Cricetulus griseus: one gene and its partner. The protein of the gene in region 2 binds, or shares a complex with, the protein of the main gene of each other region. Links are inferred from orthologs where the notes say so. Each region holds a gene or a part of one and is shown on either strand. Other genes may lie near its edges.

Evidence for each region.
Region 1: the proteins of Ap2b1 (region 2) and Ldlrap1 are in contact, whole or in part, in a crystal structure (PDB 2G30), measured with the Homo sapiens proteins. The link is inferred for Cricetulus griseus from reciprocal best matches to the Homo sapiens genes AP2B1 and LDLRAP1. Residues at the interface, in NP_001273.1 of Homo sapiens: Arg834, Gln835, Phe837, Leu838, Trp841, Glu849, Gln851, Ile876, Ala877, Arg879, Val881, Glu882, Gln884, Met886, Tyr888, Glu902, Arg904, Ser915; in NP_056442.2 of Homo sapiens: Asp253, Leu255, Asp256, Ala258, Phe259, Ser260, Leu262, Ala263, Gln264, Arg266, Thr267.

What each region holds. Positions count from the first base shown.
Region 1 is NC_048595.1:18,529,744-18,535,057, forward strand, and holds part of Ldlrap1 (low density lipoprotein receptor adapter protein 1), read left to right. Parts: intron 1-3,927; coding exon 3,928-4,070; intron 4,071-5,080; coding exon 5,081-5,193; intron 5,194-5,314. UniProt on the Homo sapiens protein: Adapter protein (clathrin-associated sorting protein (CLASP)) required for efficient endocytosis of the LDL receptor (LDLR) in polarized cells such as hepatocytes and lymphocytes, but not in non-polarized cells (fibroblasts).
Region 2 is NC_048600.1:96,581,615-96,586,928, forward strand, and holds part of Ap2b1 (AP-2 complex subunit beta), read left to right. Parts: intron 1-1,763; coding exon 1,764-2,023; intron 2,024-4,709; coding exon 4,710-4,902; intron 4,903-5,314. UniProt on the Homo sapiens protein: Component of the adaptor protein complex 2 (AP-2). Adaptor protein complexes function in protein transport via transport vesicles in different membrane traffic pathways.

The DNA of each region.
Region 1 (5,314 bases), on a different chromosome or scaffold from region 2:
CTCTGCTCAAGGCAGCACAGCCATGGCCAGGATTGAGCAAGCCTCAAAGGACCTGGCCCTTTGTCACACCGTATCTCATTATCTTACCCACAGTCCCAACAGCCCTGTGAGCCTGGTATGCTTTCTCTATTTTATCCTGTTTTTGAGACAGCCCCACTATGGGGCTCTAGCTGGCCTGGAACTTAGTATGTAGACCAGGCTGTCCTCGAATCCACAGAGATCCACCTATTGGGATCTGGGGCAGGTGTCACCATACCCTCCCTGTATTCTGTAAGTATTTTTATTTTTTAATAATGTGCATATGTATGTATGAACCTGAGTGCAGGCTCCCACAGAGCCCAGACGTATGAATTCCCCTCGAGCTGGAGTTAGAAGAAGCATTGTGAGCTCACCAGTGTTCTTAACTGCTGAGTCACCTCAGCCCCCATTTCATTTTTATTTATTTTTTTCTCTTCTGAGACAGTCTTGTGTGTGCCAGGCTGGCCTCTAACTGTATGTGTAGCCAAGGACAGTCTTTAATTTCTGATCCTTCTGCCTCTACTTCCCAAGTGCTAGGATTATAGGCATGCTCCATCATACCTGGTTTATGCGGTATTGGGGGTGGAAACCAGAGAGCGTCACACATGCTAAGCAAGCACTCCATCAAGTAAACAACGCCCCAAACTACTTTCCCCCAATTTATAGATGATGAAACTGAGGCTCATGGAGATCTCACTCAGGGTCATTCAGAGTGTCAAACTAAGGCCCTTGCCCTTAGCCACTGGGATAGCTTGCCTGACTCTGATTAGGTGCCCTGGGAGAGGGTGGATGCGTAGAAGATCACTGTAGCTCTGGCTGTGTAGTTTGGCTGGCCTCAAACTCACAGAGATCTGCCTGCCTCTGCTTCCTAAGTGCTGGGATTAAAGGTTTTTTTTTTTTATACATGATCTCAAGGTGTGATCTGGGCTAGTTTCTAATTTAGAATCCCCCTGCCTCTTCCTGGGATTGCAGGTAGGCACTGCCATACCTTGCTTGGAAAGTGCATTTTGGATATTGAGAAATAGACGTTGACTGTGTGGTGGGAGCTTGTGGGGTGTGTGTGTGTGTGTGTGTGTGTGTGTGTGTGTGTGTGTGTGTGTGTTCAGAGAGGAGGGGGGAGCTTTCAGATACCCCAGCTATCACTGTGGGCACCTCTACTTTGACTTGCTGTGTGATCTTGCATAGGTCCTGTGCCTCTCTGGGCTTTAGTTGAATTACCTATCAACTAAAGGGTTGAGTAGAGGGTCTTCACAGCTGGACTTGGTAGCCAGTGTAGAAGTTGGCAGTACTGCAGAGAAAGGTCAGGTCAGGGAAGGAGGAATGTAGAAAAATGTCAAGCATTTGAGGTCAAGGAGGAGAGACTGTTTTGACAGCAAAGAGATCACCAGTGACCTTGGCAAGCTTTGTCCCTTTGGAATGAAGTGAGCGGAAGTGGCTTTGGACAGGGGCCAGGAAAGGGCTGAGCCAGAGGAAATGGGAGAGTGGGACCCAGAGATAGGGGAAGGATGCCTGCCTTCAGGCAGGGATGGATAATGTGACGAGGTCATTCATGATTGATTAGTATTGCCTGCCTTAGGCCACAGTTGAGAAACAGGGAGGCACTGCTGTCTATTAGCAATGTCTGTCAAGGACATAGGCATTGGGCATGGATGTGTCTCAGGTTGGAACGGTGGGCTGGGTATCTTGGGTTGTGGGGAAGCAGCATTGATTATTAGGAAATACCCAAGAACCTTTTCCCGACCTTTGACTAGGCTGGAGGCAGTTTGCCTTATGGCAAGTTGTGTGATCCAGCGATCAGGAGCAAAAGTAGGCACTCCAACCAGTTCCTCAGCTATAGAATAGGCATGAGAGACCTTCAAGGCTGCTGTGCCTCCATTGTTGTTTGGTATGGCGGCTCTGCATGTTCTGGATATAGTGCTGTGAGTTTTGGTTTCTTCCAGAGCAGGGAGTTGTTCTGGTGTTCTTATTGCCTGACACAGAACTGGGGATACCATGGGGACCCTCTGCTTCCTTTTGGAGGATCTAATGGATGGGACGTTGTCTAGGGTCATCTCAGTTGGGGCTCAGGAGGCCCAGGGGGCATCAAGTCAAACATAGCTGGTGCTGACAGTTCTATACTCAGAGAACATTGAGTGCCAACTGTGTGTCAGGCTCTGGGTGACCAGTCAGCAGAGTCCTCTTACCTGGGTCTGAGAGGAGGGGTAATACTTGCAGGGCCCCTCCCATGCTCACTCACAGTGTCAGTGAGGGACAGCGTCTTACTCAACACAGATCCTGAGCCATGAGCCATGTGTGAATGAAATGATAGAGTCCCTGGAACTCAAGGCTCTGGGGCATGGCCAAAGAAAGCAACAGGGAATCCAGAGGGGACAGGGACATGGTAGTGTCCCTTAAGCCCAGGACTCCTCCCCTTCCTGACAGTATCCTAAGCTGTATCATGGCCTTTCCATCCTAGCTGGTGGGGAAGGCACAGGACTTGTGGAATGGGTACCTCCTATGGGTGTGGCATCTTTGGGTTGACAGGCGAGACCCTCACAGGGCTGTGCTCTTATCCCCAGTGACCTCGCTCTCCCAGATAAGCTTGGCCCCATTTCCTACTGTGTGATGGGTGCCCTTAGCCTCAGCTCCAAGGAGGAACTGAGGGATGGCCAAATTTTCCCTTGGTGTCCCCTTTACCTCAGCACTCTTTCCTGCATAGGGACCAGGTGGGGCCCTTCCCAACTCTCCCCTGCCCTTGCTGACATTAGTAATGGCCAGGACATCTTGGAGGGCCCTTCCCATGGGCCATGGCTGCAGCCCAGTGGAGCTAGTAAAATCATTTAACTCTAACCTTAGTCCCTCTCCTTGGGCCACTGTATCTTTGCTGGTCCTCACAGCCACCCATATCTAAAGTGGGTGTGGGCTGGGACGTACCATCTGGTGGGTAACTACCTGTATTTACTGTGGTGGCTTTTTTGTCCCATGCCTTCAACTCTTGAGCCTCATTTTCCTTATCTGTAATATGTGTGTCTTAATTAGGGTTTCTATTGCTGTAAAGAGGCACCATGTCTACGACAACTTTTTTTGTTTGTTTGTTTTTTTGAGACAGGGTTTCTCTGTTGTGTAGTTTCAGCTGTCCTGGAACTCACTCTGTAGACCAGGCTGGCCTTGAACTCACAGAGATCCACTTGCCTCTGCTTCCCGAGTGCTGGGATTATAGGCGTGCACCACCACTGCCTGGCTACCACAGCACCTCTTACAAAGAAAACATTTTATTGTGGCTCTCTTGCAGTTCAGAGGTTCAGTTCATTATCATCATGCTGGGACATGGCAGCCTGCAGGCAGACATGGTGCTGCAGAGGTGGCTGCTACATGTTGATATGCAGGCAACAGGAAGTAGACTGAGTGTCACACTGAGCAAAGCTTGAGCATAAGAGACCTCAAAGCCCACCCCACAGTGACATATTTCCTCCAACAAGGTCATACCTACTTGAACAAAACCTCACCTCCTAATAGTGCCACTCCCTTTGGAGGTTACTTTCTTTCAAACCACCATAATGTGATAACCCCATCTCAAAGAATCAGACTGAGGTCTCAGTAAGGAGGTGGGACCATTCACCTTCAGCATTGAGTTTGGGCACATGAGATGGCATAGTCAAGTCTTGACTCTAGACTGACTGACGGACTCTGTGACTTGGTTTGACTTCCTGGGCTTTGAAGTGGCAGTCTGCAGTGTGTGGCAGCTTGCGGGTGCTCCTAAGGGAGAAAGGGGACAGTGTATGTGAAGCTGGTCAGGGTTTGGGTAGGCTGGGAGGTAATAGCTAAGGTGAGGGTGGGGGTAACCCCAGGGCCCTTTGTAGGTGTGCTGAGGAGGTGGGTGGTGAGAGCCAGGCCTGCTCAGCACTCTGAAGACGACCTGTCCTGTGCTAGAGTTACCAGAGAACTGGACGGACACACGGGAAACTCTGCTGGAGGGCATGATTTTCAGCCTCAAGTACCTTGGCATGACACTGGTGGAGCGGCCCAAGGGGGAGGAGCTGTCAGCAGCTGCTGTCAAGAGGATCGTGGCCACAGTGAGTGTCCAGACCAGGAGAACAGGAGCCTGGGCCAGCTCCCCCTGCCCCAGCTGCCCTTGTCCCCAGGTGGGATCTGTATGCCGTGAGTGATCTCCTGTGTCCAGCTCAGGTATTTCTGGAGATGGCCTTTGTATTTGCCCATAAGGGTCAGCTAGCAGCCTCTTCAGGCCACCCTGGCCTTGACTACTTCCAACGTCAGTCCCCACCAGGCTCCTGGTGACTCACTAGCCCCAAGGAGGGAAGGAAGTTATTCCCGGTTTACCATGTTCTCACTGCTTGGCTGTGTGGTCCACAAAGTTTCCTTCCCCTACCTCTGAGTGGGTGTGGGCCCTTTAAGTCCATTCTCTAGGGTAGCCTTGAACTGTAGCTCAGGCTCTGGCATGTGGGTGGAGCTGGGTTCCTAGGTCATGGTGCTGGCAATCTCCCAGCTACATGTCCCTGGGCTTGTCCCTTCTCCTAGGAGTCCCCAGCTTCCTGGACAGGGGGTATTGATCCCCTCCTGTGAGGGCCAGCTCTCACCAGGCCTCAGGCTGTGGGTTGTCCATTTGTGTCTCAGGAGGGTTGTCCTGGTTTGCTTTCTGTTGCTGTGCTAAAAACACTGACCAAAAGTGACTTGGGTAGGAAAGGGTTTGTTTGTCTCAAACTGAGGGAAGTCAGGACAGAGACTGAAGCAGACACCTTGGAATGAAGCTTTTTGGCTTGCTCAGCCTGCTTTCTTATATCCAGAACCTCCTACACAGGGTAACACCCCGGCTCCCCAGGGGACCGGGCCCTCCCACATCAATCACCAGTCAAGGAAATACCCCCCCAGACTTGGCTATAGGCCAGTCTGATAGCTGTGCTTTCTTAATCAAGAATCCCTCTTCCCAGATGACAAAAGGTAGCCGGCACAGGGTGCTGGTTTAATGTCCACCCCCTGGCATCTTCCAGTTGTCTGAGCTGAGGGGCCTTGGAGCAGTGAGGTACAGGCTACTAGACAGGCTCCTCTGACCCCTGTGTGCCCCTAGGCCAAGGCCAGCGGGAAGAAGCTGCAGAAGGTAACTCTCAAGGTGTCGCCCCGGGGAATCATCCTGACTGACAGCCTCACTAGCCAGCTCATTGAGAACGTGTCCATTTACAGGTATGCCCAGCAGGGAGTGGTCATGTCTGCTCTGCCACTCAGTATGATTGGAGTGTCTTGTCTGAATCTAGGCTCAACAGCTGTCTGTCTGGGGTCCAGGGAATCTCAGTTTCCATCTGTG
Region 2 (5,314 bases):
ATGTGTATGAATATGTATGAAAGTAGCTTATGGAGCAGTGTGTATAATATGAAACTGGTTCCCATGCCAAAAGCATGTGTGCTGTGTTGAGATAAACACATATAGCATGTTAGTCATGGTTACTGGAGGTGGACAGTTGAGAGTGGGAAGGGATAGGATAATTGTGAGAGATTTCTGTTGCATTTTATACCCTTGTAAATCTTGGTGTGGCACAATTATAATTTGTTTTTGTTTTTCTTCCCAAGACAGGGTCTCACTATGTAGATCAGGCTGGCCTCGAACTCAGAGAAATTGCCTTCTCTGCCTCCCAGGTGCTGGGATTCAAGGCATGTGCCACTACGCTCAGCAGAGTATAAATTATTTTTAAGACATGAACATGCATAAAATTATTTTAAAACCACAACAAAAAAGAGCACTAAATTAAAGGGTTGCTCCTTTTGAAAGCACATATGTATGTTCTTTATTGGTTTATTGTTGGGTCATATGTAGTCTCTTTTTATTACTATGACTTCTTATGAGATGCATATAGATATTGGAATCCAGAAGGGAATTATGGGGCTGGAGAGTTGGCTCAGCAGTTAAGAACACTTGCTGCTCTTGCAAAGGAACTGGGTTCAATTCCCAGCATCCACATGGTGGCTCACAATGTCTGTAAGTCTAACTCCAGGGAATGTGATAACCACCTGTGGTCTCTGGAGGCTCTGCATACACGTAGTACCTATATAAACAAGTAAACATATAAGTAAAAATTTAAAAATTGAGGAAAAATGGATGTAAGGTAGAATATGTTAGAATTATTCCTGCTAATATTTATGGCCATATTTATTAATTTTTATTAATTAATGTAGAGATGAAGTCTTACTATGTATCCCTAACTGGCCCAGTTCTCAGTACATACCCCAGGCTGCCCTCAAATTCATGCACTCCTCCTGTCTCAGTGTCCTGAGTAATGGAATTAACAGGTGCATGCCTCCACATGCTGCTTATGTAACAGTTTGGTTTTGTTGAAGCTCACACATGAGGGTTAGAGAGGTGACTCAATGGTTAAGAGTACTTATTGCTCTTGTAAAGGACCTGAATTCATTTTCCAGCACCAACATGGCTGCTTACAGCCATTTGTAATTCTTGTTCCAGGGGTTCTGACGCCCTCTTCTGTCCTTTGTGGGTATTGCATGCACAAAGTGCAACAGTGTGCACTTACATATATGCAGGCAGAACACTGGTACAAGTAAAATAAACAAATCTTTTAAAAAGGTTAATGAGAGGGGAGGAGAGGCGGGGCAGGGGGAGGAGAGGCGGGGCGGGGGGAGAGCGCACATGTCACACTATGCTTGTAGAAGTCAGTTGACAACTTATGGGGATTCAGTTCTCTTTCCTCCTACCATATAGGTCTCAGAGGTTGACCTCAGGTCACAAGGCTTAGTAGCATGTGCCTTTACCCACTGGGCTAGCTCACCAGACCTTAATATAACAATTTAAAATACTACTATTATTTCCCAAGGCCATTTATCGGATTAAAGTGGCTTTTTTTCTTCCTAGCTTGCTTTTGTGTTTGAGTCTGAACATTAACTCATCTCAGTATATGTTTAAGTCCTTTGAAACATTAGACATATAGAATTATAACTGTAAACTCCCAAGTAAAGTATCATTTTAATAGCTAATCTGTGTAAGTCACTACACAGTGCCTTGACAGTAAGCCTGGCACTTTGGTGTCTCTGTGGAGACAGATCCATCTAATTGTCCTTGCCTTTGCTTTGCTTTAGGATTCTGATAATCCTGACCTTCGAGATCGGGGTTATATTTATTGGCGCCTTCTTTCAACTGACCCTGTGACAGCCAAAGAAGTAGTATTGTCTGAGAAGCCATTGATCTCTGAGGAGACAGACCTCATTGAGCCTACCCTCCTGGATGAGCTCATCTGCCACATTGGTTCTTTGGCCTCTGTGTACCATAAACCTCCAAATGCTTTTGTGGAAGGGAGTCATGGGATTCATCGCAAACACTTGCCAATTCATCATGGGAGGTAAGCAGGTGAAAGTTATTCTGTGAGAAGTAAGTTGCTGGTTAGGCAGTTTGTCTGTCTTCTGCTCTGTGCCTGGAAGGAGCTTGCTGTGCATTCTGCAGCATAGGAGTACAGTAAAACTATAGGAAATTATGGTGGACACCTTCTGTACTGATAAGGTTTGCAAGTTGCTTAAGTCTGGTCATTTATGGTCATTTATTAGATACTGGGGCTGAGGAGCAAGCTCAGTTGACAGTGAATCTGATCCCCAGAGCCCATGTGAAATAGCTAGGCATGGTAGTGAGTGCTTGTAGTTGAGCACTGGCGAGGTGGGGACAGGAAAGTTCTGGGGCTCATTGGCTAGCCAAACTAATCAGCAAGCTTCCTGGTCTCTTTCGACATGGAACACATGCAACATACACTTAACAAACACAGACAAATGCACATAAATGGAAAGAAAAATAAACAAGGCACCTGAGGAACAACACCTCAAGCTGTCCTCTGTCCTCTATTGGTTGGCAGAAAACAATATTAGATGCTATTTCTCATATGTAAATGACTTATGGTAAACTATAGATAAAATACTTCTGTAGGATTGCAATGTGTAAACAGCTTAGATTCTCTCTCTCTCTCTCTCTATATATATATATATATTATATATATATAATCTTTCAATTATATATGCCTAGTTAGTTTTGTTTCACCAAATTAGTTTAATGAGATCAGTAAGAAAAGTGTGTTTGGAGCAGACCACAGGTTACATGCAGCTCTTGCTTTCTAACTTCTCAATTTTATAATCAGAGAAGAGGAACACTAATAAACTCTTTGCTTTTGTTTCTGTTTTGTTTCTCTATGTAGCCCAGGCTGTCTTGATTTTCAGAGATTTGCCTGCCTCTGCCACAACTGCCTGGCTGGCTTTTTTTTTTTTTTTTAAGGCAGGGTTTATGTACCCAAGGTTGGCCAGAACTCATTGTGCAGCCTAGAAGCTTCTATTTTCCTCCTGCAGCTTCCCATGAAGCTGGGATTGCAGGTCTAGACAACCATATCTGGCTTTATATATAGATCCTTCTCAAAGCCCCCTTAGCTGTTTCTATTTTATTTTGTCTTTAAAGACTGATACAAGAAAAATACCTTTTGGTATAAGTGGGGATAATGACTGGGGAATATAATTCAGTGATAGAGTGCTTGCCCAGCATCTCTGAAGGCCCCTGAATTCCATTCCCATCCAAAACACAAAAAGGGGGGTGCATATATATGTGATGGATTGCTGCAAATGGCATGTCTGTAAGGTCCATCCTTAACACTTGTGACATGAAATAAAGCAACACTTGAAGGCTCCCATGGGATCATTGTCCCATTCTTCATAATTATGGGAAAGCATCCTAGTGATTCGCCCTGTTATTAGGCCTGGTGTAAAGCAGCAGCAGGTCCCCATGTTTTTTTCAGGAGGCTGTGTTGAATGATTTATACTTAAGTGCTGTAGGCGAGGCCATTCAGGATTATGATACTTCACTGCCTCCTTCTCTAAGTTAATTCCCTCCTCAGAGAAGGTATGGGGACAGGACCACACCTATGCATGGCAGTAGGAGTGTGAGACAGCAGTTATTCTTGCAGAAGCAAACAGGAAGCCAGGTGTGCCTCTCAAAAGCCTGCTCTAGTGATACACTTCTGCCAGCCAGACCCTATTCCCTGAATGCCACACAGCCTTCAGAATACTGTGGCAAGCTAGGGACTGCATATTCAAACCAAGAGCCTGTTGGAGACATTTCTGATTCAAGCCTTAACACCTGTTCCCTCTCTTCTTTTATTACTAGTCTTGGTTAATTCAGAGGTCTGTTTGAACCTTTTCTTCCTGGGTTTCTCTTTGTACTCCTTTAGGGAACTTAGGGACCATCCATAGTCACTGCTGGTACTAAAGAGTCTGCTGCACAGCATCATGCTTTTGTTGGGTCCTTGCTTTCATCAACTGGTTTGGGTGGCATTGTTTGCGTTCTCTTGATGAGGAAACTTTGTCATAGAGTTGTCACCTACAGTTGCACTATGTAAAGCCTATGCTTGATCTTAGATGTCTGGGTCTAGATCCCCTGCTCTTACCAACCACCTTCCCCTGATAAGTTACCTGAGATGTGTATATAAATTTCTTTCCAAGTTTATTCTCTAGTTCTGGCTGCCAATCACTTGTCTTTAGTTGACTGCTGGACATCTATAGTTATTTTTCTTAACACATAACAGAATTAAGCATCTTGAAGCTGTGGTTGTAGCTCGGTGGTAGAATGTGTTCTTAGCGAACAAAACCTGAGTGTCTTATTTTTTTTTTTTATCATCCTTCCAGATTCCCCTATTGGCAGCATCACTTATCTTTTCCTTAATGTTTGTTTATTGTCATTCTCCTTACCCCTCCATGTTCAGATCTTGTCAAAAGCTACTTAAGTTTTGTTTTTTTTTTAACATGTATTTATTTGTTGTGTGTACGTGTACATGTCTCACAGAGGACAACCTATGGGAGTCAATTCTCTCCTTCCACTGTGTGGATTTTGGGGATTAAACTTGATGGCAGGAACATTTACCTCCTGAGACATCTCAGCCATGTTTAATTCCTTAATTGCATTCTTAGTGTTTTGTGGTTGTACATGTGACATTTGCTTGCTGCTTTATTGTATAGGGGTGAAGATGGTTTTTCTTATTTCTCCTCTGTGTTTGATTACAGCACTGATGCAGGTGATAGCCCTGTTGGCACCACCACTGCAACCAACCTGGAACAGCCTCAGGTCATCCCCTCTCAAGGTGACCTCTTGGGGGATCTTTTAAATCTTGACCTGGGTCCCCCAGTGAACGTGCCACAAGTGTCCTCCATGCAGATGGGAGCCGTGGATCTTTTAGGAGGAGGACTGGATAGCCTGGTAAGCCTCTGCTTCTCTTTTGGTGTTTTTAGTTCTTGCTGGACTAGAGAACTTTATTTGGCTTTCCTTGGTGAACAGAAATGTCCTTTGTAAAGGACAGAATTATCTATCTTTAGAGACTTCATTACCATTCTGTTCATTATTGGGATGGAATATGTCTACATGTATACAGATTTATTATGTTGATCTGCTTATAAATAGAACTTCTGGTATTTAGTCAACATGTTATTTGGCTATCATAATTAATGATGTCCTTACCAGAGTTCATTATTTTTCCTACTTCTTAACTTCTTGTAAGTTGTCCTTTGGTCATGAGTATCATTAAAGTGGCTTAATAATGGTCACCATCTTTCAGGCCTTTAAACCTCTGCCTTGTTGGGTGTGGTGGTCTATACCTATAATCCCATCACTT